Callithrix jacchus: one gene and its partners. The protein of the gene in region 1 purifies or fractionates together with the protein of each later gene. This does not show direct contact. Links are inferred from orthologs where the notes say so. Each region holds a gene or a part of one and is shown in the gene's direction. Other genes may lie near its edges. The genes, in order: IGF2BP3, ILF2, G3BP2, DDX5, HNRNPA2B1, FUS and TRIM25.

The links.
Region 2: the proteins of IGF2BP3 (region 1) and ILF2 purify together in Homo sapiens (affinity purification with mass spectrometry; 3 studies listed by BioGRID and IntAct, counting the BioPlex papers as one, with this or other methods). This does not show direct contact. The link is inferred for Callithrix jacchus from reciprocal best matches to the Homo sapiens genes IGF2BP3 and ILF2.
Region 3: the proteins of IGF2BP3 (region 1) and G3BP2 purify together in Homo sapiens (affinity purification with mass spectrometry; 3 studies listed by BioGRID and IntAct, with this or other methods). This does not show direct contact. The link is inferred for Callithrix jacchus from reciprocal best matches to the Homo sapiens genes IGF2BP3 and G3BP2.
Region 4: the proteins of IGF2BP3 (region 1) and DDX5 fractionate together in Homo sapiens (co-fractionation; 3 studies listed by BioGRID, with this or other methods). This does not show direct contact. The link is inferred for Callithrix jacchus from reciprocal best matches to the Homo sapiens genes IGF2BP3 and DDX5.
Region 5: the proteins of IGF2BP3 (region 1) and HNRNPA2B1 purify together in Homo sapiens (affinity purification with mass spectrometry; 4 studies listed by BioGRID and IntAct, with this or other methods). This does not show direct contact. The link is inferred for Callithrix jacchus from reciprocal best matches to the Homo sapiens genes IGF2BP3 and HNRNPA2B1.
Region 6: the proteins of IGF2BP3 (region 1) and FUS purify together in Homo sapiens (affinity purification with mass spectrometry; 3 studies listed by BioGRID and IntAct, with this or other methods). This does not show direct contact. The link is inferred for Callithrix jacchus from reciprocal best matches to the Homo sapiens genes IGF2BP3 and FUS.
Region 7: the proteins of IGF2BP3 (region 1) and TRIM25 purify together in Homo sapiens (affinity purification with western blotting; 3 studies listed by BioGRID, with this or other methods). This does not show direct contact. The link is inferred for Callithrix jacchus from reciprocal best matches to the Homo sapiens genes IGF2BP3 and TRIM25.

The regions. Positions count from the first base shown.
Region 1 is NC_133512.1:34,781,197-34,784,969, forward strand, and holds part of IGF2BP3 (insulin-like growth factor 2 mRNA-binding protein 3), read left to right. Parts: intron 1-1,727; coding exon 1,728-1,863; intron 1,864-3,328; coding exon 3,329-3,454; intron 3,455-3,677; exon of another isoform or gene 3,678-3,773. UniProt on the Homo sapiens protein: RNA-binding factor that may recruit target transcripts to cytoplasmic protein-RNA complexes (mRNPs). This transcript 'caging' into mRNPs allows mRNA transport and transient storage.
Region 2 is NC_133519.1:14,091,542-14,096,100, reverse strand, and holds the start of ILF2 (interleukin enhancer-binding factor 2), read left to right. Parts: upstream 1-1,687; 5' UTR 1,688-1,737; coding exon 1,738-1,742; exon of another isoform or gene 1,743-1,872; intron 1,873-2,440; coding exon 2,441-2,500; intron 2,501-2,786; coding exon 2,787-2,829; intron 2,830-4,295; coding exon 4,296-4,400; intron 4,401-4,559. UniProt on the Homo sapiens protein: Chromatin-interacting protein that forms a stable heterodimer with interleukin enhancer-binding factor 3/ILF3 and plays a role in several biological processes including transcription, innate immunity or cell growth.
Region 3 is NC_133504.1:122,417,710-122,422,031, forward strand, and holds the start of G3BP2 (ras GTPase-activating protein-binding protein 2), read left to right. Parts: upstream 1-1,365; 5' UTR 1,366-1,504; intron 1,505-1,603; exon of another isoform or gene 1,604-1,723; intron 1,724-3,814; exon of another isoform or gene 3,815-3,817; 5' UTR 3,818-3,876; intron 3,877-4,322. Other genes in the region: USO1 (general vesicular transport factor p115), read right to left, coding at 897-962.
Region 4 is NC_133506.1:89,766,560-89,770,927, reverse strand, and holds the start of DDX5 (putative ATP-dependent RNA helicase DDX5), read left to right. Parts: upstream 1-1,499; 5' UTR 1,500-1,610; intron 1,611-1,703; exon of another isoform or gene 1,704-1,864; intron 1,865-2,061; exon of another isoform or gene 2,062-2,096; 5' UTR 2,097-2,231; coding exon 2,232-2,275; intron 2,276-3,487; coding exon 3,488-3,653; intron 3,654-3,993; coding exon 3,994-4,090; intron 4,091-4,190; coding exon 4,191-4,324; intron 4,325-4,368. Other genes in the region: CEP95 (centrosomal protein of 95 kDa), read right to left, coding at 1,269-1,287. UniProt on the Homo sapiens protein: Involved in the alternative regulation of pre-mRNA splicing; its RNA helicase activity is necessary for increasing tau exon 10 inclusion and occurs in a RBM4-dependent manner. Binds to the tau pre-mRNA in the stem-loop region downstream of exon 10.
Region 5 is NC_133512.1:31,900,998-31,905,274, forward strand, and holds the start of HNRNPA2B1 (heterogeneous nuclear ribonucleoproteins A2/B1), read left to right. Parts: upstream 1-1,374; 5' UTR 1,375-1,546; coding exon 1,547-1,552; intron 1,553-4,156; coding exon 4,157-4,192; intron 4,193-4,277. UniProt on the Homo sapiens protein: Heterogeneous nuclear ribonucleoprotein (hnRNP) that associates with nascent pre-mRNAs, packaging them into hnRNP particles.
Region 6 is NC_133513.1:30,698,081-30,701,853, forward strand, and holds part of FUS (RNA-binding protein FUS), read left to right. Parts: intron 1-978; coding exon 979-1,123; intron 1,124-1,322; coding exon 1,323-1,522; intron 1,523-1,712; exon of another isoform or gene 1,713-1,831; intron 1,832-1,861; coding exon 1,862-2,090; intron 2,091-3,695; coding exon 3,696-3,730; intron 3,731-3,773. UniProt on the Homo sapiens protein: DNA/RNA-binding protein that plays a role in various cellular processes such as transcription regulation, RNA splicing, RNA transport, DNA repair and damage response. Binds to ssRNA containing the consensus sequence 5'-AGGUAA-3'.
Region 7 is NC_133506.1:109,423,274-109,427,046, forward strand, and holds part of TRIM25 (E3 ubiquitin/ISG15 ligase TRIM25), read left to right. Parts: intron 1-3,230; coding exon 3,231-3,464; intron 3,465-3,773.

The DNA.
Region 1 (3,773 bases):
TCAGCTAGTTTTTATGGGTTAAGAATTCAGGAGCAGCTTAGCTGGGTGGTTCTGGCTTGGGGTGTCACAATGCTACTGACAAGTCGATGCTGGCTATTGGCAGAAGGCCTCAGTTCCTCCCACATGGGCCTCTCCACAGAGCTGCTTCAGTGTCCTCAAGACATGGCAGCTGTCAAGATTGCATTGTCTTTTATAACATAGCCTCAGAAGTTATACTCTATCATTTTTCTAATATTGTTTACACAAGTCAGCCCTGTTTGGTACGTATGTGGTGGACTGCAGATAACTGGGTGGCAGGGAGTCACCTTGGAGGCAGGCTACCACACCTAGAATCTGGATGGTCTCAAATTACATTAGAAAGGTTTTTCTTTTTCTGAGGGTGACTATTCTTAGTTTCAGTCAGAGTACTCAAATGGTGGGAAAAGATTGATGAACTGAAGAAGAATGGTAGGGGAATGACTGATGCACAGTGTTGTGTAGCAAGTTTTCAAAGGAGGTAGTACAGAAGCAGGAAACTTCGGTTTGGTTGTAGAGAAAGGAAAAAACCCACGAAGTGGTAAATACAGTAATACTACTTTGTCTTAAATTTACCCCCAGAAAGGGGAGAGTTTTAAAAGAAAAAAATCTTAACAGTGATTCTAGAAACAGCTATTTAAAAACTGTAATACAAAATGCTTGGCAGGGCAGGTTGAAACTGAATTAGAATTATATACTTCTTTTTGAAGTAGTCTAAGAGAAATAGTCTTCATTATATAAATGTTCATATTTTTAGCAAGTTTTAGGAAAATGTTAAGGAATAACTTCCCATTCATCTGGGGGAAGGTTAGGCTATGACATTTTACTAGTACTGAAAATGAGAACTTCAGGAAGATGAAGGGGATTTGTACCAATAACCCATATCCTCTCAATTTATATACTTAGTTCTGTTTTCCATGGCAAATATCTCTCATCACTTTCCTGCATAGGCTTAGGTGTTTTCAGGTATGATTTTTAGTGGCTTTTGAAGGTTCAGCAGGACCTAGGTCCTGCAGGGAGTGTCTGAATATTGCTGCCACTGTCTAACGTTTTTGTTGTCTAAATGGCCATCAGTGAACCATTTTAAATTTTACTCAAGATGGACTGATATTCCTCCAGCCTACTTCAATCTAAATTCTAAAAAAAAAAAAAAAAAAAAAAAAAAAAAGATGGTAAAAACTAGTTTAGACACGTGAAGTTTGGCTTGTGGTTTTGAATATTTCCATTCTTTCTCCTTGCTTGGTGAGCCAGAAAATACAATTGCATGAGAATGCCAATTATGCCTAGAATTGGTTAGTCCAGACTAGGAACATACTTAGGAAAGGTTATGTACTTAGAGTATATGGTTTCCAAAAAACTATACATCTTTCCAGTCATTTTTCCATTCACTGTTAAATTGTGAAAATGGTTCAACTTTAAGAGGTTGAGAAGTAAGCTATATTTAAAAGAAGGACTTGATTGAACTATATGTACCCAGTAATCTTTACTTGAGAAGATGGGAGGCCAAGTATTTTCTTCTCTCTTGCAGCTTTACAATTTTGGATTTATGTCTTTTGGGGCTTACTCATTTCCCATCATGTTTTACCACCCACTTTTACATATTACCAAGCTCCACAGTTTGTTTTTAATTGCCATGGGTGGCAGAATAATTATTAACTGCCTTCTTTCTACAATTTTCATTCTTTTTCTTTCCCTTCTTTCTCATTCTGCAGATTGCAGGAATTGACGCTGTATAATCCAGAACGCACCATTACAGTTAAAGGCAATGTTGAGACATGTGCTAAAGCTGAGGAAGAGATCATGAAGAAAATCAGGGAGTCTTACGAAAATGATATTGCTTCTATGAATGTTAGTTTTGTTATGAAGGGCATGTCTTTATTTTAAAAAATAGTTAAAATGATGTTTCTAACTGCATTCATAGTGAATTATTTTGTGGCATTATCATTAGAAGAAGTTCTAGCTGATTTTTAGCACCGCAGCAAGTACCCTGGGATAGTGGTGAAGATACTGGCTTTGACATTAAGCTTTGCTGTCTCTGTGACTTTAGCAAATTATTTAGTCTTCAAGCATTAGCCTCCTTCTCTCTGAAGTAAGGCTGGTGTCTACCTACAAAGGTTAATATAGTAAGTACCTCTTTTACGATGCTAATTTGAGAGTTTAATATAGAAGGAATATTACATGAACTGGATTTGAATCACAGGCAAACTATTTACTAGCTGCAATTCTATTCTCTTAGATGATTTACTTAGTCTCTCTGAGTTTCAGTTTACTCATCTGTAAAATGGGATTACTGCCTACCTTGCATGCTTATTAGGATTACAATAGCCCTAATGCATATCAAAGTTAATGTTAAGATTACAGGTTTAAAACTTGCTTGGTTACCCATATAAACCTTGGAGATACAAGAATTTCAATTGATTAAACAGTCTGCATAGTGCATCTGAGGCTATTAAAGCAAATTGCTGACATTGCTTAGTGAGTGAAATGGTGCTGAAAGTGGAAAACTTCAAAAGTCCATCTTAAATTTTAAAGTAAATGATTAAAAAAAAATTTTTTTTCAATTGGGCGAGACATCTGAAACACAAAACCTGAGAGAAAGAAAACGTGAAAACATTGCCTTTGTCAGGAAGTCTAGAATGCAAACTATTTTACACCCCACATGACTCCCTGCCAACCTTCTTCATATTATCACTACTTGGCTCCAAATGTCTTAGAATCAATGGGATTAAATCTAACCCCCATAGGCCTTTTAAAAAGATTGTCACATACACTCTAATCTCCCTTCCACGATCTACATTACATCCTCAACCCTTATAAAATTAAACAAATTAAAATCCCCTTTCTGGCTCCTATATCCATTCCAGTGATATGTTTACTTGCAGTAGTTACATGGGGATGGGTCCCAATTTCCAGAGGGCTCGACTTTGAGTTTTCTAGACCCATGGTTGCTAAATTTTACCCAGCGAGTAAAGATCTCCTAATAGCTGGTTTGCTTTTCAGTTAGCCAATCTCACTTGATTACCTCTTAAACTCGGATACATCACTTTCAGTCTGTATTTAGTTTGCCCACAATATGTAGAGTACAGTTTTGTCTAAGCCCTGTGAGCTAGTCATAAGGAAAAGGAAGGCTGCCCTTGAGATCTCTTAATGCAGTTGTAAACGATATACTCAAGTAAAGTCCCATGGAACATCTGCTCTGACTTATAAGATGGTTTTTTTATTAGATCAGTAGTTTGAATATTGTCACTTAAAAATGCTCACTTTCCCTTGATCCATTTAATTGTCAAATTAAGGGTCCTTTTTACTATTGCAGCTTCAAGCACATTTAATTCCTGGATTAAATCTGAATGCCTTGGGTCTGTTCCCACCCACTTCAGGGATGCCACCTCCCACCTCAGGTCCCCCTTCAGCCATGACTCCTCCCTACCCACAGTTTGAGGTAAGATAACTGGCCTTGGCTTTCTTTGTGATTGGGCAAACTCTTAATGTAAACCTACTCCCTGGTGATCATCTATTTAGAGCCAACATATACTCTCCAGTTCTTGCTAATGAAGCCGACTTATGGAGTGTGGAGTAGACATGGGATTATTTTGAAGTTTTTGGATAGTAGGGTTGTCAATATGTGTTTTCAAATATCACAAGAAAAGTTTGGGACCCTGAGGTGGCAGGAAAAGAAACTTAGTGATTTTTTTTATTTAAAAATTTTTTTCTCTTTTTAATTCAAAGTTCTGGGATACATGTGCAGAACGTGCAAGTTT
Region 2 (4,559 bases), on another chromosome or scaffold:
CAGTGGCACATGATCTTGGCTCACTGCAACCTCAGCCTCATGGGTTCAAGTGATTCTCCTGCCTCAGCAACCAGAGTAGCTGGTATTACAGGCACCCGCCACCACGCCCAGCTAATTTTTTGTATATATATTTTTAATTTTAAAGAAAAATAATTTTAAAAAAAGATGGGGTTTCACCATGTTGGTCAGGCTGGTCTTGAACTCCCGACCTCATGTGATCCGCCCGCCTTGGCCTCCAAAGTGCTTGGCTTACAGGGGTGAGCCACTATGCCCAGCCAATTTTTTGTATTTTTTAGTAGATATGGGGTCTCGCTCTGTAACCCACGCTGGAGTGCTGTGGCACGATCTTGGCACATTGTAACCTCCGCCTCCCGGGTTCAAGCGATTTTCCTGCCTCAGCCTCCTAAGTAGCTAGGATTACAGGCGCGCGCCACGACAAAGACTAATTTTTTTGTATTTTTAGTAGAGACAGGGTTTCACCATGTTAGCCAGGATGACCTTGATCACCTAACCTCGTGATCCGCCCGCCTTGGGCTCCCAAAGTGCTGGGATTACATGGGTGAACCAACGTGCCCGGTCCATCATCCAGATTTGTGGGGTGAGGGAAGAGAACTGGAGGGAAACTGCAACGGGGACGAGTTGGATTCTCCTCTCTTTGCCCCTTACTTTGCCCCCCTTTTCTTTACTTTTTTTTTTTGAGACGGAGTTTCGCTCTTGTTGCCCAGACTGGAGTGCAATGGCACGATCTCGGCTGACTGCAACCTCCCCTCCTGGGTTCAAGCGATTCTCCTGCCTCAACCTCCCTAGTAGCTGGGATTACAGGCACTCATCATGCCTAGCTATTTTTTGTTGTTGTTGTTGTATTTTTAGTAGAGATGGGGTTTTATCATGTTGGCCAGGCTGGTCTCGAACTCCTGACCTCGGGTGATCAACCCGCCTCGGCCTCCCAAAGTGCTGGGATTACAGGCGTGAGCCATCGCGCCCAGCGTCTAGGCCCCCCATTCCTTTTTCTGCGCCCTCTCCCCAAGGGCTGTCTCAATTTCCCCCGTATTCTCTCACTAATCATGTTTTCTGCACTAATTCAATCAATACTCTCCTCTCCTATCTGAAACCTGTTTCTTCTGTCTCGAGTTTGTAGACATGTAATGTTCATTGTTGCCCAAACTCCCTTTTCCCCAACAACTTCAACTCCGAGTGGGAAAACCGGCTGACATCGGTTGTATTTTTGAGGTAGGAAAATTTAAGAAGATATTTTGATGTTTTCATTCACCGAAGAAACCTAAATTATGTGTGCCGTATAGGACACGAAAATGAAAAAAGAAAAAAATCCGATAGCAGAGGATGGTTTCGATCCATCGACCTCTGGGTTATGGGCCCAGCACGCTTCCGCTGCGCCACTCTGCTATCTACAAGCCACTCTTTTTCAGGACTGTTATAGAAGACTCTCTATGTAGCTGTTGTCCCTATTTCTTTAGTGCCACCTAATGTCTGACCAAAAATCCGCCATTACTATAGAACCAGTTCTTATTGGCTAGTTCCTGACACAGTAGGCTTTTTTTATTGGTTCATAAGCCCGGGTTGACAGAGTAAGCCAATAGGCATAAACGATTGGGTTAGGCGGGAGCCAATCGCGCTGGGTTTTATTGGGACACGCCGGCAAGACGCCTCTTCAGTTTTCCGCTCCTCGGAGCAAAGGGGCGGTTGGTGCGGCCTCCATTGTTCGTGTTTTAAGCCGCCATGAGGTAAGGGGGTCGAAGTGATCGAAAGGTTGCAGGTATTCGACGGAAAACTTTGGGAACGTGGGCCGAAAGAAGTCGGAGGACCTAAAAGCGCCGTGTGTCCGGGAGCTGGCCAAAAACCGGAGAACTCCCGGTCTGGGAGAGTAGGGGAGTGGGAGGCCGGCAGAGGCGGGGAAACTTGGGCCCGGGATGGGGTTGGGGCCCAGGAGTGGGGAGGCGGGTTCGGCACCTTTGTCTCTGAAGGGTTGCGATGAGGGGGTGTCCTCAAGTCCCCGGAGGAGCTTCCCCCGACCCCCCATCTGGGGTGAGAAGGCTGCAGCGAGCCGCTTTCATCCTCAGTGCAAAGGGCTTGACACAGAGGACATGCCCCATAAATGCGTACGTTAATGAAGAAATGTGCAACTTCTGGCCTCCGAAGTATTAGGATTCGTGTGGCCCAGGATTATGGGTTATTTCGTGTAGGGGCTGAGTGTCTGAGCCCCGTGATCACTTGATGCAGGGTTGTGATTAACTCATCCAGAATGAGGAGGTTATGGGGATGTATAACTGGGCACCATTTGGAATGGGGAAAAGTGCAAGTGGGCATGGGGTCTCTTGCCTGCCGTTCGGAGGTTCCGAGGGATGAAAGTAGTAGCCACCTTAAAATGATATGGCCGGTGAGTATTCCTTCAATGAGGTCAAAATAAAATCTGCGTTTCTAGGGGTGACAGAGGCCGTGGTCGTGGTGGGCGCTTTGGTTCCAGAGGAGGCCCAGGAGGAGGGTGAGTGCCGGTTTTTAGCATCTCTGGACTTGGTTGTTAGTTTCTGCTTGTCATCTAAATAGGAGTTTTGGGGAAGACTAAAGTCACTTGGTTTTGTGAGAGCCAACTGTGGTCTTTACCTGCACCCCTGCTAAATGAATTTGGCCCCACTATGCTAAGAATGATTCCCCCTCCCCAGAGACTTTGTCACTCATTCTGAGGACTGACACGTTTTCAAAATTGCTGGTGTTATACATCTCACTTGATTCCTACATAGGGAATAATTTAGCTGTTTTTCATGTTTTAGGTTCAGGCCCTTTGTACCACATATCCCATTTGACTTCTATTTGGTGAGTACCTTGGGTTAATCATACACATTTACTGGCCACTAGAAATGGAGCTCCGGATCTCCCAGTTGATGAAGCTAAATGGTGGTTGAAGAGGCTGGGTGCAGTGCCTCACATCTGTAATCCCAGCACTTTGGGAGGCCGAGGCAGGTGGATCAGGAGTTTGAGATCAGCCTGGCGAAACTCCTTCTCTACTAAAATTACAAAAGTTAGCTGAACATGTGCCTGTAATCCAGCTACTTAGGAGGCTGAGGCAGGCGAATTGCTTGAACCTGGGAGGTGGAGGTTGCAACGAGCTGAGATGGCAGGACTGGGAAAAAAAAAAAAAGTGAAGTAGGGAGGGAAAGGGATTTATGAAAAGACTTGGGGTTTTGAGTCAACAGCTCAACAGTGTGTTGCTTTACATACAGAAACAGTGTAAGCAGGGTGGGGAGATTAATTCCTTGGCTACTATTGGCATTAAATATGATTATCTTTTTTCTGAACAAGTAATTATATCTATGGCTTATCTGTTATAGTGATAGCTTAAATTATGGCTATTCCAGCTTGTATCCTTGGTTGAACTTTTTTTTTTTTTAAAGACATCATCTCACTCCATCACCCAGGCTGGTGCAATCTTGGCTCACTGCAACCTCTGCTTCCTGGGTTCAAGAGATCCTCCTGCCTCGGCCTCCCAAGTAGCTGGGATTACTTGGGAGGCCTGCCACCATGCCCAGCTAATTTTTGTATTTCTTTTTTTTTTTTTTTGAGATGGAGTTTCGCTGTTGTTACCTGGGCTGGAGTGCAATGGCACCATCTCGGCTCACCGCAACCTCCGTCTCCTGGGTTCAAGCAATTCTCCTGCCTCAGCCTCCCGAGTAGCTGGGACTACAGGCGTGCACCATCATGCCCAGCTAATTTTTGTATTTTTAGTAGAGACGGGGTTTCACCTTGTTGACCAGGATGGTCTCAATCTCTTGACCTGGTGATTCACCCGCCTTGGCCTCCCAAAGTGCTGGGATTATAGGCGTGAGCCACTGCGCCCAGCCCCAATTTTTGTATTTCTATTTAATAGAGACTATGGTGTCCAGGCTGGTCTTGAACTCATGACCTCAAGTGATCTGCCCACCTCAGCCTCCTAAAGTACTGGGATTTACAGGCGTGAGCCACCCAGCCCAGCCTTTGAACAATTTTTTGTTTCTTTTTTGAGGTAGGGTTTCACTCTGTCGCCTAGGCTGGAGGGCAGTGGTGCGATCTTGGCTAACTGCAACCTCTGCTTCCTGTGTTCAAGTGATTCTCCCACCTTAGCCTCCCAAGTGGCTGGGATTACAAGTGTGAGCCACCATGCCCAGCTAATTGAACAAATTAAGGAGTGAAAACAAGTATAGAATTTTCTATTCTTAACTTATTCTGTTGTAGTAACAGAGAAAACAATCTTTCCTGTGTATTATTTTTGGTAAATAGAATGTAGTTGTTTATTTCTGATTTAGTGTGAAATGGCCTTCCCCCGGGTCAAGCCAGCACCTGATGAAACTTCCTTCAGCGAGGCCTTGCTCAAGAGGAATCAGGACCTGGCTCCCAATTCTGCTGAACAGGTATGTTCTTTTGGCTGTGTTCCAGAAATGTCTCTAAAACAGTTAAAAGTATTGGTAAAGAGTAACTGTTGGTAAGGGTAAGAATGGTGTTAAGGTAGCCTGAAAGCCACAGAAGGTTTAATTTTCTCTTTATTTCTCATTGTGGGTAGAGATAGCCAG
Region 3 (4,322 bases), on another chromosome or scaffold:
ATGTTATACTTGGTCACTTTTATGTATATCTAAAATGATTCTCAAATAAAAAGTTTACTTCAAAAAGTCGTACACCTTCGATTCCATTAAACAATAACCAAAGTTCAAAATAAGTATATTCTAAACCTAGAATCTAAGCAACTATTCAATACTGTTTTCAGCGGCTAACCATTAAAAAAAAAATAACGCTGCAAATAATGTCCTTACGAGTTCAGGCAGAAAGCGGTGAATGTGTCCCTAAAGCAGTTTGAGCGGGAAATATCCCTACTACGTCCAAGGTAGCATTTGCCAAATGATATATATTTGGGTCAGCTCGAAAAAACGGGATCGGAACAAATGACACCAGGCGTTCTGATGGGACAGGAGCAGGTGGATTTGTGCCCCAAAGAATATCGTTTTATTCTTAGCCACATGCTCTCACCAACAGCTGGGTTTTAAACCATGCAATCTTCTCCAACGCCCCAGTTTCAGACTGCGAGGGAGGGAGCAGGACTTCAGGCTCGTCTCGGCCAGTGCAGACACAGGCGAAAGGGAAGGAGGGACGGGCCCACAGCCCCGAGGGGCGTGGGAGGCAGTTCGCGCCAGCACTGTCCCGATCCGTCCCTTCCCGGGAGGTACCACCCGCGGACCACTCTCCTAGCCCAAGCTTCGGGGCCTACGCAGCTTGTGGGGCGCGGCTGCCGTCAGTCCGGCCAAGCCGCAGTGATGGGGACTACGATGGGGGCTTGAGGAAGTAACTCTGGGATTTCAAGAGCGGAAGGAGGGCAAAGGTGGAGGCGGCTTGTGGATCTCCCTTCCATGGTGGAACGCGGGAGGTGACCTTCGGGTCTCCGAGTGCTCCCTCCCTGTCCCTGCCCGGACCCCTTCCCAAGTCCCAGACCCGCCGCTCCTCTCACCGTCTCCGCTTCTGTGTGCTGGGGTCCGGCACTCTGACCCCCCATTACCCCACGGAGGAAATTCATCTTGCCTTTCAGCCACCTGGTTTATCGGCCCCTCCGGGAAAGAAACGAAGACAACTTCCCCGCCTTCCGCAGGGCCTGACCCCCAATTCCGCACTCCACACTCTCCTACCGCATCCACCACCGCCTCCAACTCGGCGGCCGATCTAGCCCCTTAAGCCCGGAAACAGCCGCCAGCAGCGGCCAAGATGCGCATGCGCGGGGACGTGGCATTACGTGGCGGCTCGAAGGTTGAAGGCAAAAGGGGAGCGGAGGCGAGAGAAACCTCGTAGCTACGTTCCGCCGGAGCCCCGCCCACTGCGTAGGCCCTGCCTCCCTCCTCAGGACTCGCTTCTACCCCCGCCCTTCGCGGATTGTTCCCGCTGGCCGCAGCCACCCACGTGGTCGAAGCCCGGCCCTGCAGGGTGGAGAGGATTTGGTTACGCGTTTCAACTTGCACGCAGGGTGTTTAATTGCTCCCGAGCGGGACTTACTGCAAGCTATCAAATCTGAGGTCTTATTCTTTTTGAGTCGAAAGTGAAATTTTCCTTCGGCCGACGTGACAGGTAAGGGGTTCCGGCCCCTGGGAGGGTTCGTTTGGTTTGACGGTTTAGTAGTACCAGCGTTGTGGCTTTCTTATCCCGGTAAATTGCATTTCTTTACAGGGCTTTGTTTGGTGGTAAAAAGGGTACTAGACGCCCCTCATTCCACTGCCACTGGAGGGCGCATTTCTCAGCTCTTGCTCTTCAAACCTGCTCAAAGGAATTCCTAGATCTAAACACCAGGTACACCTCAATTTTCAAGTGTCGTCAGAAGGAAACCCACCAAACTCTACATTTAGCTTACTAGAGAAATACATTGTTCTGCTGTGTCAGTTTGGCGAGTAACATAATGTTTTGTTATTAACTATTAACCCCTGCGTTTTCAGTGTTTTTTTTTAACCTGAAAAAAATGTCATTTTCTCAAATTGATATGCCTGTTTCTCCGGCAGTGAGGTTGTCAGTACACATGCTTCTGGAATAATCTTGTAAATTTCTTGAGGCTAAAAAGCACAGGGTCTAGTTAGTTTACTGACTCATGCACCTCTCCTCTTGGATTCCCCTCAGGTCTCAGATTCAGCCTTTAAAATTGAACTCATCTTCCCCTGCCTCCCTTAAAGAAAAAAAGTCAATACGCTGCTTCTACTGTGTGCATGCCGTGCTCAGTAGTACCACTGTCCAAATAAGTGCCTAAGCTAGACAGAGGAGGCTGGGAAGAATCTTAGACTCTGGCTTTCCACCCACGCATGTCCAATCAATAGTCACGTCCTATCATTTTTATATAAATGACTATTTCTCAGATAGGTCCTCTGCTCTCCATTCTCTATGCCTATGATATAGATTATGTTCTCATCATTTCTCGTTGAGATTACAGCAACAGCCTCCTAACTAGTTTGTCTGCATTCAGCCCTGGCTTCCTTCAGAAAGTCCAATCTCCAGTCCTCCCTTGGGAGAGACTAACAACAACAAAACATCTGTTTATGTCAGTCTTTTAAAAATCCTTCAGTTGTTTCCCCTTTCTCTCTAAAATAAAGTCCAAACTCCTTAGTTTGTCATACAGGCCTATTGTGATTGGCTTCTGACTACTTTTTCAGCTTCTGCCTCCCCCACATACTCTGGACATTTTTCTCAGACGTGGATACGCCCTTCCCCTCCCTTCTCTTCATCAAGCAAACTCCTGCTAATTCCTTAAGACTCAACTTTGGCATCATTCTTGAAAGCTTTCCCTAAAATCTAAGTATATATCTATATGCTAGCACTTTGCAGTTATTAATACTATATATGGTGGACATTCAATAAACGCTTGTTAAACCAAACTGTTAAGGGCAGGACTATGTTTATTCATTTTATATCTCTGTTGCTTACCACTGTCTCATAAAAGGTGATATTGATGGATAAATGAATAAATCATTGAAAGAATATATGAAAATTATGCTAAGGAGGAGGTTCCCTTTTTTTAATCTGTAAAGTGGAATTGTAGGGAACACATCATAGGCAATGTGTTTCCTAGTGCCAACATTTTAAGCCTGTGCAACTTGGAGAATGGTGGGGTCATACTGCCAAAAATACTGTGCACTAAGCATTGTCCTCTGCTTGAAAACTATATACACTTGACATTTTACTGTAGTCATTTTCCATGGGAGCATTTTGTTGCAGCCTAAAAAAGGTAACCAGTAAATACTCAGCATTTTTATTACCAAGAAATGCTCTAAAGAACTTCACTCAAGCCCCTAAGCCTCACCCATCCCTAAACCTCACTCTACCCCATCATCAGGAATGAGGCTCACAGATGGAGTGGGCCACAGCTGTCTGTTACTCCCCTTATTTAGTAATTAAAAAGAGTGCCTTGACATTTTAGCAAAGTTGTTTAAAGGCACCAGCCCTATCAAATGCCTTGTTTTGTTTTGTTTTGAGACGGAGTTTTGCCCTTGTTGCCCAAGTTGGAGTGCAATGGTGTGATCTCGGCTCACTGCAACCTCCGCCTCCTGGGTTCAAGCAATTCTCCTGCCTCAGTCTCCTGAGTAGCTGGGTTTATAGGCATGCACCACCATGCCCGGCTAATTTTTTTTGTATTTTTAGTAGAGACGGTGTTTCTCCATGTTGGTCAAGCTGTTCTCGATCTGCCGACCTCAGGTGATCCGCCCACCTTGGCCTCCTAAAGTGCTGGGATTACAAATGTCAGCCACTGTGCCTGGCCCTGTTTTGTTTTAAACTTTGGTGGGTACAGTAGGTTACTACACTTCAGTGAGGAAAGTTGGTTACTATACTTTAATGAGTATAGTAGTAACAGCTTACTATGAGTTTTCCCTGCATTTGACTTGTTTTCTTCCCCAACAGCAGCCCCTGAACAGGAGGGATAGACAGTTGGGTGCCGATGCGCTGAAGGTGAGATCCCCAAGGTATTGTCCCTACAGAACAACCATGAAATGGACTCCTTATTTCAGAAGAAGAGAGTTACATATTAATCCACTTCTATGATTTGTAGAGAAAAGTCGGGGACTGTGTTATATTCCTGTTTGCACCCTTTAATCATCTAGTATAATTTTTTTTAACATGGTAGATGTTCAGGAACTACCTGACTTAATAAAGGAAGAGAAATCATGAACAAATTGTGACCCCCTGACTTGCATGGTTACATTTCTGGCTTTCATAAATCTAAGCATTCAGGATAAGAGTGCCGTGAATCATTAAAATACATATAATCAAAAAGAAAACGAATGATTCTTCTTTTTCTAAGCCAAACCTGACAATAGATCAGTGAACAAGATTCATTGGTTTGAAATCCATTTTTAAAATTGCTTTCTTTTTTTCCTATCGTTTCTTACTTTCTAGTGGAAAACTCAGC
Region 4 (4,368 bases), on another chromosome or scaffold:
GATGTATTTAATTTCTTGGAATGATTTCCAGAGTGCTGTAACTTCTATACAGCCAAAACTATATAATGTAAATTCAACTGCCACTGTTGCAGTCTAAATCTTTAGTTATATTACATGGGTGTTTTTAGTCAAAACATATTTACAAGTAAACGAGAATACTGTCATAAACAACAGTTTAACGATAATCCGAGGTTACTAAAAACTCATTAATGGATGTTGCTTCAAATTCCCAATAGTATCGGTCGTGTGTTTCCCCAATTATCCTGTGAAGTCAGGATTTCTCCAGTGCCCGAAACGTGGTGATTAAACTTAGGCTATTAAGAACTGGTATAATGACAACATCAACGCTAATGCATTTATTAAGTTTTTCTTTTTTATTATACTGATCTAAATGAAAGGAAATATGGGAAGTATATGAAAACATCCCTAAGCTCAGAATTATCAATACTGTTGACCTTTCCTGTGCTCCGGACTCCCCTCTCCCAGATATTGCTGGGACTTGCAAAGTTTAACGGTTTCTCTAGCAAAAGTAACTTCGCATAAAATACTTGTTCCCTGAAATGCCTGGCATTGGTAGGAAAGCACTTTCCTTCGGTACTAGACACAAACGTCTCCACTATATTCCGGACACATAACGTTCTGGAAACAAATGAGTGTATCTTCCATGCACATAATTCCCCTCCCCACGCCCATTTCTCACAGTTGGCCAAACCGTGAGAACTGGTTTGTATGCAGTCCTGGCGAAAAGGATGAAAGCGTCCTAGACAACCAAACCAATTCGCTTTTCAAAAGCGTTGCTAGACAAAGCCCATGACTTCAGAGAACACTGAAGAGAAAAAAGCACCAGTATTCTGCGACATGGGCATCAACAAATCTTAAGGTGCTGTTCCTTTAAAGACCAATACAAAAGTAGATTAGACCTCAGGACCCACAGTACAAGGGCGGAGGGCACACTGACAGCGGCCAGACAACTCCACAGAAGGACAAGTCCGGGAACGACCCTTCTGGTTGCTCTTTTTGCACCCAAGACCCGAGTGTGCTACCAGGCTCGCCCCAGTGCCTCTCTCCTACCGCCTATCACTGTTCCACAGCCTCACAGAGAAGGAGAAAAGCTGAGAGACCCTATCCAGAGAACCCGCCACCGCGACGCGGCGTCTGACAGTCACGAGTCCCGCCGACAGCCTAGACCCAGTCCGGGCCAGCCCAAGGCCTCCCTGAAGCTGGACGGCCTCAGTTCACACCAACCGTGACCCCAGGCCGACACTCACCAGCCTCCGAGCCGGCCATGTTTTGGAGGCAGTTTGCCGCCGGACCCCTACAGGCCAGGCAGGCTACGGTGTCCTGGAAGGACCGATCCACACAGATTCGACGCTTGGATGAGGGCGAACGAACCCAAGCGCTGGGAAGGAGGCGTGAAAGAGGGAGGGACATCAAAGGGGCTGCTCGCCGCTGATTGGTCACAGAGCAGCACTTCCTTTCACAGCACGTGCCAGGGCGGCGGTTTGCTGAGTTTAGAGACCATTCTCCGCTGGCCAGAACCCGGTAGATGATTGTCAGATCCGTGGGTCGGCAGCCCAGGCGGGTCCTGGGGCTTTGGGAGCGCACTTCCGGTACTATTTCGTTATGTATCCCTCCGCCGACGTCAACGGAGAAGTAGTGCGGCCCGCTGACCGGTGGCGGGGGTGGTAGTCACGTGACACGCCAGTCCCCGCCTGCCATTTGGTTACGGGCGTGAGGGCCCTTTGGAGACGTAAACATCTCCGAGTGAGGAGGGTTGGCTGGCCTGGGCAGGCTGTTTTATCGTCTGGCTGGGCCTGGGAAAGGGCGGGGTGGCTTGCTTGAGGTGTGGAAAGACGAGAAGAAGGTAAGGTCAAGAGAGTGCAGAATGAGACATTCCAATAGTGGGTGGGCCCTGAGCTGAGAGGCTCTCCTGGAGCGCCGGCTGCCGTTGCGGCTTCTGCGCGACGGGCGGGGCGATTAGGTCATAGAGCGGATCCCAGCGTTCCTTGCGGCGTAGGAGGCGGTCCAGACTATAAAAGCGGCTGCCGGAAAGCGGCCGGCACCTCATTCATTTTCACCGGTCTGTGGTCTTGTAGCTCCGGATTGTGTCATCGCCGTCCGTCCTCCGCTGCCGCCCCCGCAAGGCTTCGCTGTTGTCGAGGCCATTTCCAGCGACTCGTCGCACCCTTTTGTCTGTACTTCGTTCCCCGCCAACCGCAACCATTGACGCCATGTCGGGTTATTCGAGTGACCGAGACCGCGGCCGGGATCGAGGGTGAGTGTGGAAGCCGAGCTGTCAGGCCTAGCAGGTGGGGGATGGGACGGCAGGTGAGGGTGGCGGCCGGCGGGGGCTTTGGGGCTCGGACTCGGCCTTTCCGGATTCTCCTGGGGCCTCGTCTCTTGAACACTTGCGCCATTTTGATAATCACGTAACAGTGATTGGGAGTGGTTTATCGGTGTAGTGCCCTCAAGCTCGCTTTTTGTTGGGATTAGGAAGTCGTCGGGGCCGCTGCCATTTGGTAGCTGTTGGAGGAATTCAGAGGGAGCATATTGTGCGTTGGAAAGCACGACGTTTCGAGTAAGACGAAGTAGCAGCTCTTAGATTCTGCCTTTCAGGAGGTGTTTTTCGGGTGGCCGGGCATTCTGTGGGAGCTCTAGGACCACTTCTAAAGCCACTGATGCTGGGGGGGGTTAGGAGGGCGGTCGGCATTGCCGGCATCAGCCATGTGGCTGAGTCGCGGGTACAAAATGCCGGCCTCGGACATGGCGGCGGCGCCTTTGTTACCCCGCCCGGCGGAGGAGCTCAAAATGGCAGCGTCGAGAAAATGTGGCGCAGAGAGAAATGCGAGACAAAGGGGGAAGCGCCGCCCCAGCGGGAACGCCGCCCGGCCGGCTCCGCCCGGGCCGGGACTCCTCCCCCGGTAGTCGCCGGCTCCTCCTTTTCTTTTTTCCTGCGTTATATAATTTTTATTCGTTGATCGGGAGCTCTACCGCGGCGTCCCCCCAGCTCGGTTTGCTAGCAGAAGTATTTGCGAGAAAACCCTTGTTTTGGTCTCGCTGTCTGTGCTGTCTCGATTCTTTAACACCAAAGCTCTTTGGCTTGAAAACGGCCATATGAGTAACATCGTTGGGATGCTCTTTGGTTCGTGTATCCTTGTTATCCCTGATACTTAATTCCTAGACTGGTGGGGAAGATTATAGTAACCGCAAGAAGTGGTGTGTATCCGAAATTATGGCATCTGGGCCGCAAGTTCCCGACATGATAAATCCAGGGCTGTTTACATGGCCTAAGTGTGTACTTGGGACTACTAGAAATGTTAACTGTGGCTAAGAGAAAGACTATCGTTAAGGACAGTGCTTTGTTTACTAAACCTCTTAAGGTCGTTTTTCAGTGATCTGTAGCTTTGTGTCAAGGGATGGTAAACAAATCTGTATAGAAACCTGTGTTTAGATATTTGAAAACGTGAATAACGTTTTTTCTTTGCAGGTTTGGTGCACCTCGATTTGGAGGAAGCAGGGGAGGGCCTTTATCTGGAAAGAAGTTTGGAAACCCTGGGGAGAAACTAGTTAAAAAGAAGTGGAATCTTGATGAGCTGCCCAAATTTGAGAAGAATTTTTATCAAGAGCACCCTGATTTGTCTAGGCGCACAGCAGTGAGTAAATTAATGTGGCTTCATCAGGCTGTAACTCAGTAATGGATTCTAGTAAATGAAAATCTGACAGGTGTTTTGCAAATGATTCAATTTTGGTAGTTACGTTTTCTGACTTCATAATTGGGAAAGTTGTGACTCAATAGGTGGCTTTGGGATTTTTTTTTTAACTTAATTAGGTTGAGAACGGAATAAACTGTTCTTTTGCCATATAGTGTTTTCATATATGGGTCAGATAAAAACGAAAGCTACTTTACTCAATTACGAATTTAGGGGCTTACCAGTTACATTTAGCTAGGGGTGGTTGCCATGAACTTTAAGACTGTTAAAATTTGTTTTGCAGCAAGAGGTGGAAACATACAGAAGAAGCAAGGAGATTACAGTTAGAGGTCACAACTGCCCGAAGCCAGTTCTAAATTTTTATGAAGCCAATTTCCCTGGTAATTCTAGTTTTCAGTTCTATCTACCACTGGGATTTTGTTCCCACCCACTCCCTTTTACTTGGCATTACTAATTTTTACTAAATATCTGTCACTATAGCAAATGTCATGGATGTTATTGCAAGACAGAACTTTACTGAGCCTACTGCTATTCAAGCTCAGGGATGGCCAGTTGCTCTAAGTGGATTGGATATGGTTGGAGTAGCACAGACTGGATCTGGGAAAACATTGTCTGTAAGTTTGAGGGAACTCTTGAGTTGATCTGATATATGCAAGAA
Region 5 (4,277 bases), about 2.9 Mb from region 1:
CAGAATGCTGGTGGGGGAGGGGAGGAGAAATGCGCTTTGTCTCGAAAGAGTGACGGTTGCCACAACTCTCTGCTCCCTCGAGGGCAGAACAGTCCCCCAATTAACTGCAGGCGCTAACCCGCGCCACGCCAGCCGCGAGGCCACCGCCCGACCTTCCGCTCCTTCCCGCAGCTCCAGGTGCGGGGTCTGGCGGGGAACGAAGGGAAGGGGAGCAAGGAACCGGGCCCCCGGAGCGTGTGTGGTATCTAAAACACCGCCACTGAACGAGGGCTAGACAAAAGGAAAACCACCGACTTCACCGCCTCCGAGGTGCTCCGGGTCGCGGGTCTGCGGCGTCTTCGGCCCTGCGCGCCAGCAGCTCCAGCCACATCCAAGTGGGGAGGGAGCCGGGAGCTGCGCAAGGGGCTGCGGTGGGGAGGGGCGGCACCGCCTACGCCGGGCGGCCACGAAAGGCGGGGCAGCGGGCGCGCGCCCGGCGGGAGGGGAGGGGCCGTGCGCCGCGCCCCCTGGGAACTGGGGCCCAAGGTGGGGAGGGCGGCTGCGACGACCGCGGCACTTACGGTTTGCAGCGTGGCTCCCGGTGGTCCCCCGAGGGGAGGGAGAGGGAAGGAGGGGCGAGGACAGCGACCTGAGTCTCTCGGCGGTGGCTTTTCTGCCCCGCAGCCTCTACGGCTGGCGCCAAAACCGGACTCCGCCTACTTCCTCGCCCCTGGGCGGGTGGGGGGTGGAATCCTCCAGACGCTGGGGGAGGGGGAGTTGGGAGCCTAAAAACAACTCGCTTTGGGACCCCTTTTGGCAGGGACTCCTGTACGCCAGAGGTCAGCCCCATAGGCGCGGGCCAGGGTTAGGTCAGTGCGGCGTGAATAGTAATTTGACTATAAGTTGATTCGGGTGTTTCCGGAAGGGGCCGAATGGGGGCACGGAAAACGAAAAGGGAAAGCTACGAAGATTTTTATGGCGGGAGAAGGAAGGAAGGTATCAAAGGCGTAGCTGCAGAGACCACCTCCCGTGTTGAGGGGGCTGGACCTCCGGGCTGCGGTTTAAGCTCCTCCCGTCGGCGTTAATTTCAAACTGCGCGACCGTTTCTCACCTGCCCTGCGCCAAGGCGGGGGCGGGGGGGGCGGGACCCTATTCTGAGAGGTAATAGGAGGCAGGCCTCGAGCCTTCCTCAATTCACTGAGCGCATTTACGGAAGTAACGTCTGGCACTGTCGCTAGCCGCGAGGTGGGGAGGGCTACGCATTTGGCGTAAGGCGGGGCGCAGAGCCTTCCCGCCATTGGCGGCGGTTAGGGCGTTTACGCAACGGCCTGACGTAGAGGAAGACGCGTTAGTCGGGGGGGAAGGTTCTAGAAAAGCGGCGGCAGCGGCTCTAGCGGCAGTAGCAGCAGCGCCGGGTCCCGAGCGGAGGTTCCCCTAGCGGTGTTGTTTCTCGAGCAGCGGCAGTTCTCACTACAGCGCCAGGACGAGTCCGGTTCGTGTTCGTCCGCGGAGATCTCTCTCATCTCGCTCGGCTGCGGGAAATCGGGCTGAAGCGACTGAGTCCGCGATGGAGGTAACGGGTTTGAAATCAATGAGTTATTGGAAAGGGCATGGCGAGGCCGTTGGCGCCTCAGTGGAAGTCGGCCAGCCGCCTCGGTGGGAGAGCGGCAGGAAATTGGACCGCTTCAGTAGCAGTGGGTTCTAGGTTTTTGAACAGGGTCTTGACAGAGGCCTGAGCGTACAAACAGCTTCCCCACCCTCAGCCTCCGGCGCCATTTCCCTTCACTGGGGGTGGGGGATGGGAAACTTTCACATGGCGGACGCAGCCCCGCTGGAGTGAAAGTGGGGCGCGGAGGCGGGAATTCTTATTCCCTTTTTAAAGCACGCTGCTTCGGGGGCTCCGGCGTTTCGGCGGCGAGCGTTTCGGCGGGCAGCGGGTCCTCGTGAGCGAGGCTGCGGAGCTTCCCCTTCCCCTCTCTCCCGGGAACCGGATTTGGCGGCCGCCATTTTCATGGCTCGCCTTCCTCTTAGCGTTTTTCTTTTAACTCAATTAATTCTCCTAGTGTGATTTCTCTATCAAGGCTTAGAGGTGGTTAACTGTTTCTCTTTCTTCTCGGGTTGTTTTCATACCGTTTCGAGGTGGATTTGGAGTGTTTTGTGAGCTTGGATCTTTAGAGTCCTGCGCACCTCATTAAAGGCGCTCAGCCTTCCCCTCGATGAAATGGCGCCATTGCGTTCGGAAGCCACACGGAAGAGCGGAGCGGGTGGGGGGGTGGGGCCGGGTTCGCAGGCCCGGTTTCGGAGAAGGTACACCACTCAGAGCATCGGGCCGGGTTCAACGCCAGCCATAGGACAAAGAAGCCATTATATATTTTTTCTGTTCTTTTTCTTTTTTTTTTTTTTTTAACTCCAGTGATGGTTTTATCTCGGTCCTCGGTTACTAATAAGGCAGATGAATCCCAGCGAAGTAGACACAAATTGGAAGCCCTCGGCCACGAATGGCAGGGAGAATGGTGGTTTTCGGGGCGGGGGAGGGATATTCACGTCCGAATCCTTTACTGCCCTTAAGGATTTCACTTAAGTTGTAGAGCTCAATCATTTTAAAAATATTTTTACTGAGAATTTTGATCTTTACGGGGTCAATCCACGGATCTTTAAAGATTACGAGGAAAGTGAAAACTATTTTGTCCTTAGTCGTAATTAGGTTAAAACATGGCTTCAGAGGCTCCTTCCTGTAATGCGTGTGTATTGATGTGCAAAATTGTATTGGGCCTGGGCCGCTCTGTATTTGAACTTTACTTGCTTTTCTCATTTATGTTTGCAATCTTGGTTGATCATTACATTGATAAGCATAAGGTCTCAAGCGAAGGGGGTCTACCTGGTTATTTTCTTTGACCCTAAGCACGTTTATAAAATAACATTGTTAATAACCGATAGTGGACGTCGGGTAAGTTTGGAAAAATTGTGAGGTAAGTAATGAGTTTTTGCTTTTTGTTAGTGATTTGTAAGACTTGTTAATAGATGTGCATTATTCTTAATGTGAGTTTGAGAGACACATGTACTGACGACAAAAGCTAGCTGAAAAAAATCAAAATATATCTTGGCAAGTAATCATTTCGAAAGACGGCTATGTGTCTTTAGGAGCTAGTTTGATACTTTGTTAGTTTTTTTAATTTTTACGAGTCCTGAAGACACCACAAGAAAAAGATCTGAACTGGCTTTTATCACCATTTTTTTTTTTTTTTTTAGCATTTGGGAGCATGTGGATGGCGGGAGAGCTCTGTAGAACTGGGATGAGAGCAGCAATAAATGGCGCTTGCTTTGAACAAAAAATTCTTGACTCAAAATGATATGTGACTCTAAATTTGCATTATGCATTCATAGCAATTGTCTTGGATATATATGACTGATTCTCGTATGAGGTTTTAACCTAGTTACCTTTTAAGACAGGTTTACTGAACGTTCTTTTTTAACTGTCCAAAATACAATGCTGTGTAGTACAGCATATTTGTTGGTTCCCAGGTATTAAAATATTTCATCTCTGAGGTTTTTCCTTTTGACTTGGAACAGCGTTTTGTGCCGTGTCTTCCTACATGGCCAATTAAGTTCAGTAAGCTTCACCTTTCAGTATCTTTAAAACACTGCTTAGAGTTTATGCCAGGTGAATGTATTGAGTAATTTTTAAGGTTATTTCTAATGCATATCTTGACTGATTGTTTTGTAACTGAGAGTCGTGGAGAAACCTAATGTTAGTGTTTTTTTTTTTTTTTGGCTGAGATACTTAGAATCACCACCAGAGGGGGCAGTTAAGGGAAAATAAATGCTATTTTTCAGATACTGAATCGTGAATTTTGTTCTTAAGGAAGGATCCAAGAGTTATTTTCTAATGTTTAAAAATATAAATCTGCGTTTTTAGGTTATAGGGTTGGAATTTTTGGGTAAAAAAATTTTTACTAATCTTTGGATAACCACGGTCTACATTTGTTCATTTCTCCTTAGAAAGCTTTTTTAATTAATAATTTGTTTAAGATAATTTGATGTTGAGTAAATTTAGATCAAGCATTAATGACTTTGAAACTTGTGTAGATCAGCTGAGGCAATTTTTTGGTGTAACACAACTAATATGCAGTTTAACATATGGTTTAAATTTGATGTAAGTTTTTTTTTTCCCCCCCAGAAAACTTTAGAAACTGTTCCTTTGGAGAGGAAAAAGGTACTCTGCCAGCAGGTCACCTCATATTTAAGAATTTAATTTCCTGCATACAAAGAGAAAAATGTAAATAAAAATTGAAATGGTG
Region 6 (3,773 bases), on another chromosome or scaffold:
AGCCCCAGGAGTTTGGGGCTGCAGTGAGCTATGATTGTGCTTGAGAGTAGCCACTGCATTCTAGCCTGGGCAGTGTATTGAGGCCCTGTCTCAAAAACAAAAAAAGACAAAAATGTTTATTGGTTTGTAATTGTTTCCATTTATTTTATTTGGCTTTAAATTTTTTTGGTCCTCCTGTTTTTCATCTCAGCATGAAAGAGAGCATATTTTCTAAAGGAAGAAGAATGTTAGGCTGATTCTTTTTTTTTTTGAGATGGAGTTTCGCCGTTGTTACCCAGACTGGAGTGCAATGGCACGATCTTTGCTCACCGCAACCTCCGCCTTCTGGGTTAAAGCAATTCTCCTGCTTCAGCCTCCCGAGTAGCTGGGACTACAGGCATGCACCACCATGCCCAGCTAATTTTTGTGTTTTTAGTAGAGACGGGGTTTCACCTTGTTGACCAGGATGGTCTTGATCTCTTGACCTCGTGATCCACCCGCCTCGGCCTCCCAAAGTGCTGGGATTATAGGCGTGAGCCACCGTTCCTGGCAGGCTGATTCTTAAATTGAGAAAATGGTTTTGCTTGAAAATGTATAAAATCATATGATACCTAAGAAGGTGGGATTTGTCCCAAGGTCCTGAAGCATAACCAACGAATGTGGTTGTCCTGCAGAAACTGCACACATAGCTGCACATTGCAGTGCGGTTGCAAGGGATCCTTGGGCCTGGGATTAGAGGGTGTTTCTGGAGATGGTGTTGGGATTGGTGGGGTGAAATTGGAACTGTTCTAAAGAGTTGGTAGAAGTTGGAGCATTAACTTTAGGTTTTAGAAGGAGGGTGGTAACTTTTTGCCTGTGAGTTGCTAGATAACTAACGGCTTCTGAGAGGCTGACTTTTTGAGTATGGGTGAGTGTTAGGTTGTATATGTTTTCTTTAACCCATTCCATACATTTTCTCTTTGCTGTGGCTTTTGTGACTCCCTTTTTTTATCCTCATAGCAGGCTATGGCACTCAGTCAGCTCCCCAGGGATATGGCTCAACTGGTGGCTATGGCAGTAGCCAGAGCTCCCAATCATCTTACGGGCAGCAGTCCTCCTACCCTGGCTATGGTCAGCAGCCAGCTCCCAGCAGCACCTCGGGAAGGTACAGTGGTGTTGATGTCAGGGGAAGGCTTGAAGAGGGGTGAATTGATGAGGAATGATAAAGGGACCCAGGAGTAGGAGCAGCTTTGAGGTATAATTGGGGTGGGGGAACCTATGTTGGGTATAGAGAATGGAATACACTAAAAACAAAATTTGGGTATGCTGGGATTATGATTTTGTTTTTCATTTGTTTTCTTTAGTTACGGGAGCAGTTCTCAGAGCAGCAGCTATGGGCAGCCCCCGAGTGGCGGCTACGGCCAGCAATCTGGCTATGGTGGACAGCAGCAAGGCTACGGACAGCAGCAAAGCTCCTATAATCCGCCTCAGGGCTATGGACAGCAGAACCAGTACAACAGCAGCAGCAGCAGCAGCAGCGGTGGGGGTGGAGGTGGGGGTGGAGGTGAGATGTCCTCAGCTTTGCCAGCAGTTCCATTTTCTATAAGGATTTGTATTCTCCTGTTTGACTCTTAGCTTAAAGGGATTGCTTTCTTGTTCCCTATATGTCTTTTTAATTTATTTTGTCCTTTATTGCTTGGCACTTGTTGAACCTTTTTGTGTTACTTTACTTTTTTGTTTGTTTTTTTCCTTAAAACCTATAGCACCTGGTATTTCCAGGAGGTCTCCTATCCAAATGCTAACTAGGCCCGACCCTGCTTAGCTTCTGAGATCAGACGAGATTGGGTGCATTCAGGGTGGTATGGCCGTAGACTTTTTAAAACCATTCTTTCTTTTCTCACAGGTAGCTATGGCCAAGATCAGTCCTCCATGAGTAGTGGCAGCGGCGGCGGCAGTGGTGGTTATGGCAATCAAGACCAGAGTGGTGGAGGCAGTGGTGGCTATGGACAGCAAGACCGTGGAGGCCGTGGCAGGGGCGGTGGTGGTGGTGGTGGTGGTGGTTACAACCGCAACAGTGGTGGCTATGAACCCAGAGGTCGTGGAGGTGGCCGTGGAGGCAGAGGCGGCATGGGGTAGGTGTCTTATGAGCCAGGGAGTATCTTTGGTGGGGAGTGTGGAGGATTGCATGAATTTCCCTGAAGCCAGTCCCTAGTGCATGGTTTAGTATTCTTGTTGTCTAGGGATCTGTGAGGGCTTTGATTTGGGGTCAGTGACTGTTTTTACATCCCCATTTTATTTTTGTGAGAACTTGGGAGCTGAAACTCCCATCCATACCACTAAATAGAGATTTTGAGTATTGATACTTGTTTCCAAAGAGAAAGAAATCATACATAGATATGTATGGATTGGAGTCATTGATATCCTAGGCAAGAAACACGGAAGTGAAGACTTCTTTCTCTGCAAGGGAAACCGATGATCCCACTCCTGGGAAATAGTAGGGAAACTTGGTATGTGTATGCCCATGTGTCCTCTAGGGAGTTGGTAATGATTAACCTGACTTCAGCTTCTAGGAATTGGCTACTCTTCCTGTTTTCTGTAGTCATTTGAATCCACGAGCTTGATTTGCGCTAATTTGACAGTGATTTTGTGTGTGACTTGGTTTGTGGGGCCATCCGACTGAAGTGTACAGACCTTTTGGGCAAAAATATGCTTGACGGTGGTCTCCCAACTATTTGTTCCACTGTCTGCCTTCCCCTGGTTACTTAAAAATCATCAATTTGTCCAACTGGACATTCTTTCCTTCCTGCTGAAGTTGATTTGAGTAAAACCTTAGATTTGATGTTAAAACAGCCGTCAAATCTGTTGGTAAATATGATTTGAAGGACCTTACCCTGTCTCCCTTGAAAAAGGGGAGGAGTGTCAGTGTTACTGTTTTTGGAAAAAGTAGATTTTTAAAACAAGTTGGGATATGGTAAGTATGCAGAGGTGGGTGGGGGCAATCTCAAAAACGTACAAAAATAAGGAAAACTCTGTTGTGTGCGTGTGTTTAATGCAAAACTTTAAAAAGAAAAACAACTGTTATGTGACTGTTAACTTGCTCTGCATTTTATGTGCCACAGGTATGAAAGGTGACATTGCAAAATACTCCGCTCTTCTCGCAGTGTAGAAGGGGTGACCCCGGGGGTTGGGGGAGATCAAAAACAGCTCAGTAGTTAGGACAGGGCTTAGCTAAGTTTGTCTTGCTTTAAGGGGAAATTGCTTTTGGTTTTGACTTTTTATGGAATGGGGTTGGGTCTGCTTGCTGCTTTCAAAGCAAAAACCACAAAAATGTGTTCAGGGCTACCCCAGCCTGGTGTGAAATGTCTTCTGGGTAAATTGGGGTAGGGTTTTTAAACCAACTACTTGGTTGTCAACCACTTGCGACAAGAGGAAAAAAAACATCTGCTCCATCGGAAGAACGACCGAGGAAAATGGGTCATTTTTTTTCCAGAGGAAATAGATATATAACCTTTTAAAGCAAAATCTTTATAAACTGTGTCTGAGAAATTGCACACGTGTGTGTGACACGCTCAAAGGTCAGACAAGGGGTGGTCAGGAAGGGATGTATTTTAGTAGTCACTTGTATCTTTTTCCAAAAACACCTACCCATGTTTGGGGAATGTTAAACAAAATCAAAAAAACACCCTTTTGTAGCCGTTGGAAGCTTCATGTCCTTTCTTCTAACTTGTCTTCTCCAGCGGAAGTGACCGTGGTGGCTTCAATAAATTTGGTGGTAAGTGAACAGAGTTTCCAAAATTCCCAACTCCCAGCAATGC
Region 7 (3,773 bases), on another chromosome or scaffold:
GGCTAGAGGGCAGGTTAAACTGCTGTAACAAGGCACATCAAAATTCAGAGGCTTAAATATGATCAAAGTTTGTTTTGCCAACTGACAGTCCAAACCCAAACATGAGTAACCCAGACTAGGGGTTCATGTGATCATTTGGGGATTAAGGGTCCTCCCTTCTTATTGCCCTACTATTCCACAAAGTATTGTCCCAACCTCTTTGGTTGAAGCTGGGTTACCATTACACCTTTGTTCTAGCCTGTGAGAAAAGGGACAAAGAGGAAGTGAAGGACAACAAGCAATTTCCCTTTACACAAGTGACACACTGTTGCACATATCACTCCTGGTCATGTGTCAGTGGAAGGAGCTAGTCACATTGCCTAGCCTAGCTGCAGGGGACACTGGGAAACGTAGTCTGGGTAGCCACATGCCCAGAAGAAACTCCAGGAATGTTCTCTTACCAAAAGGAAAAAGGGGAAAATGAGCACTGTGGACACTTGTAGTCACATTAGATGCTGCACAGTAAAAGATTGGCAAAGAAGGCTGGGCACGGTGGCTCACGCCTATAATCCCAGCACTTTGGGAGGCCAAAGCGGATGAATCACCTGAGGTCAGGAGTTCAAGACCAGCCTGGCCAACATAGTGAAACCTCATCTTTACTAAAAATACAAAAAATTAGCCAGGTGTGGTGGTGCACACCTGTTGTTCCAGCTACTTGGGAGGCCGAGGCAGGAGAATCTCTTGAACCCAGGAGGCAGAAATTGCAGTGAGCCGAGATCGTGCCATTGCACTCCAGCCTGAGTGATGAGAGCAAAACTCTGTCTCAAAAAAATAAATAAATAAAAGATTGGTGAAGAAATACTTGAATTCCTCTCTTCCAGTCTGCTGTCCTTCTCGTGTGTTTTTTTCTTTGTTATGTTTGATTCTGAGCTATCGTCTTAGTCCATTTTCTGCAGCTATAACAGAATTCCACAGACTGGGTATTTGCAAAGAAAAGTTTATTTGGCTCACAGTTCTAGAGGCTGAGAGGTCGAAGAGCATGCTTCCGGCATCTGGTGAGGATCATCCATGGCGGAAGGATGGAAGGCAGGAGAGTGAGACAGGAAAGAGAAGGTCAAACCCCTGTGAGAAGAACATGAATCCATTCATGAGGGCAGAACCCTCACGACCTAATCACCTCAATGGCAATTAAATCTCAACATGAGCTTTGGAGGAGACATTCAAACCATAGCAGCTATTGAGGCCATCCAAGATGGGAAACAAAATTGCAGCTGCTGAAGGAGTGCTGTCCAGCAGAAATATAGTGGGAGTGCAGATGTAACTTTAAATTAATTCGATAGTACATTAGGTTTATTTCATTTATTTATCCAGGCTGGAGTGCAGTGGAACAATCATAGCTCACTGCAGCTTCGAACTCTTGGGCTTAAGTAATCCTCCTGACTCAGCCTACGCCCCCTTTCCACCCTACACCTCCCACTAGCTAGGAATACTAATTTTTTTATAGGAATAATAATTTTTATTATTATATATTTTATAATAATATTATAGGAATAATAGTTTTTTATTTTTATTTGTGTAGAGAAGGGATCTCACTATGTTGCCCAGGCTGGTCTTGAACTCCTGGCCTCAAGTGATCTTCCTGCCTCGGTCTCCTAAGATGCTGGAATTATGAGCATCAACCACTGCACCTGGCTGAGATTAATTTTAATATTACAGTTTATTCAGTTTGGTATATCTGAAATATTATTCTTTCAACATATCAATTTTAAAGCAGTAAGATATTTTACATGCCTTTTATTGGTGTAAAGTTTTTGAAAGCCAGTATGTATTTTATACTCATGTTGAGTCTCAATTTGGACTAGCCACATTTCAAGTGGTTAGTAGCCACATGTAGCAAGTGGTTATATTATTGGGAAGTATAGTTCTAGAGCATGATATTCTCAGAAATTTTCCAGAGCTGCATCCTGACTTTTATTTATTTTTATTTTTATTTTTTGAGACGGAGTTTCGCTCTTGTTACTCAGACTGGAGTGCAATGGCGCAATCTCGGCTCACTGCAACCTCCGCCTTCTGGGTTCAGGCAATTCTCCTGCCTCAGCCTCCTGAGTAGCTGGGATTATAGGCACGCGCCACCGTGCCCAGCTAATTTTTTTGTATTTTTAGTGGAGACGGGGTTTCACCATGTTGACCAGGATGGTCTTGATCTCTTGACCTTGTGATCCACCTGCCTCGGCCTCCCAAAGTGCTGGGATTACAGGCTTGAGCCACCGCGCCCGGCCCTGACTTTTATTTTTAAAAATTGCCCATGAACTGCCTTTAGCTTAAGGAATAAAATATCATTGCTGCAGCCCCTCCCATCTGTTTCTCCCTTATTTTTTTTTTTGTTTTTGAGACGAAGTCTCGCGCTGTCGCCCAGGCTGCAGCACAATGGCGTGATCTCGGCTCACTGCAACCTTTGCCTCCTGGGTTCAAGCAATTCTGCCTCAGCCTCCTGGGTAGCTGGGACAATGAGTGTGCACCACCACACCCAACTAATTTTTGTATTTTTAGCAGAGATGGGGTTTCACCATGTTGGCCAGGATGGTCTCAATCTCTTGACCTTGTGATCTGCCAGCCTCAGTTTTCCAAAATGCTGGGATTACAGGCATGAGCCACTGTGCCTGGCCCTGTTTCTCCCTTATTCTGTCCCCTTCCTCTCTTCCAGAAATAACCATTCTCCTGAATTTATTCATTCATTCCTATGCATTTCTTTGTGCATGTTAACCATTCTGCTTGTTTCTAAGCTGTATTGAAAGAGCATCATGTGGTTGGTCTTCTTCTGCAAGTTGTTTTTCTCTCATGGGGATTCATCCATGCATAGCTCCAGTTTATTAATTTTCATAAGTGTTTAGTATTCCATCCTATGAATAGTTCCCAGTCTTTGCATCAAGCCTTCTACCAGTGGACGTTCAGGTTGATTCCAGGTTTTTGCTACTTCAGACAGTGCTGCCTGTGCACATTCTGGTGCATGTCTCTGGGGCAGGTGGCTGTGAGTTTTTGTAGCATGTATTACTAAAACTGGAGTTGCTGAGTCATAGCATATGAGCACCTCCAAAGGTACTAGATTTTACCAAGTTGCTCTCCAAAGTGGTTTGCTCTCCCAGAAAGTGCAGGTAAGAGTTCCCAGAACTCCACATCTTACCAATGCTTGGGGCTGCAGCCTCAGCGTTTTTGCCCATTTGACAAGCACCCTCTTACCTTGGCCCTCTCAGTTGACTGCAAACAAAAAGGTGGAGCAGCTACGACAAGAATACATGGAAATGAAGGCTCTCCTGGACACCTCAGAGACCACCTTGACATGGAAGATAAAGGAGGAGGAGAAGAAGGTCAACACCAAGTTGGACAGCATTTATCAGATTCTCCTCAAGAAGAAGAGTGAGATCCAGACGCTGAAGGAGGAGATTGAACGGGGCCTGACCAAGGGGGATGAGTTCGAGTTTCTGGAGGTGGGTTGCCAGGAGGCATTGTTGAATGGTTTTTTTTTTTTTCCTGATGTCCTGCTATTGATGATAGGGCCCGCAAGGAGCTGGGGACTGGAAGAGGTCACTGGAAGCATCCCTGAGACACATGCTGTATTAGTTTTCTGAGCTGGGCAACAAATTACCACAAATATAGGGGCTTCAAAAAACATATATTTATTCTCTCAGAGTTTCTCTGGCTCAGAAATCTGGACATGGCTTTATGGGTGGCCTGTATAGGGTCTCACCAGGCTATAGTCTGCAAGGGATGGCCAGGCTGTTTCTTTTGGAGCTCAG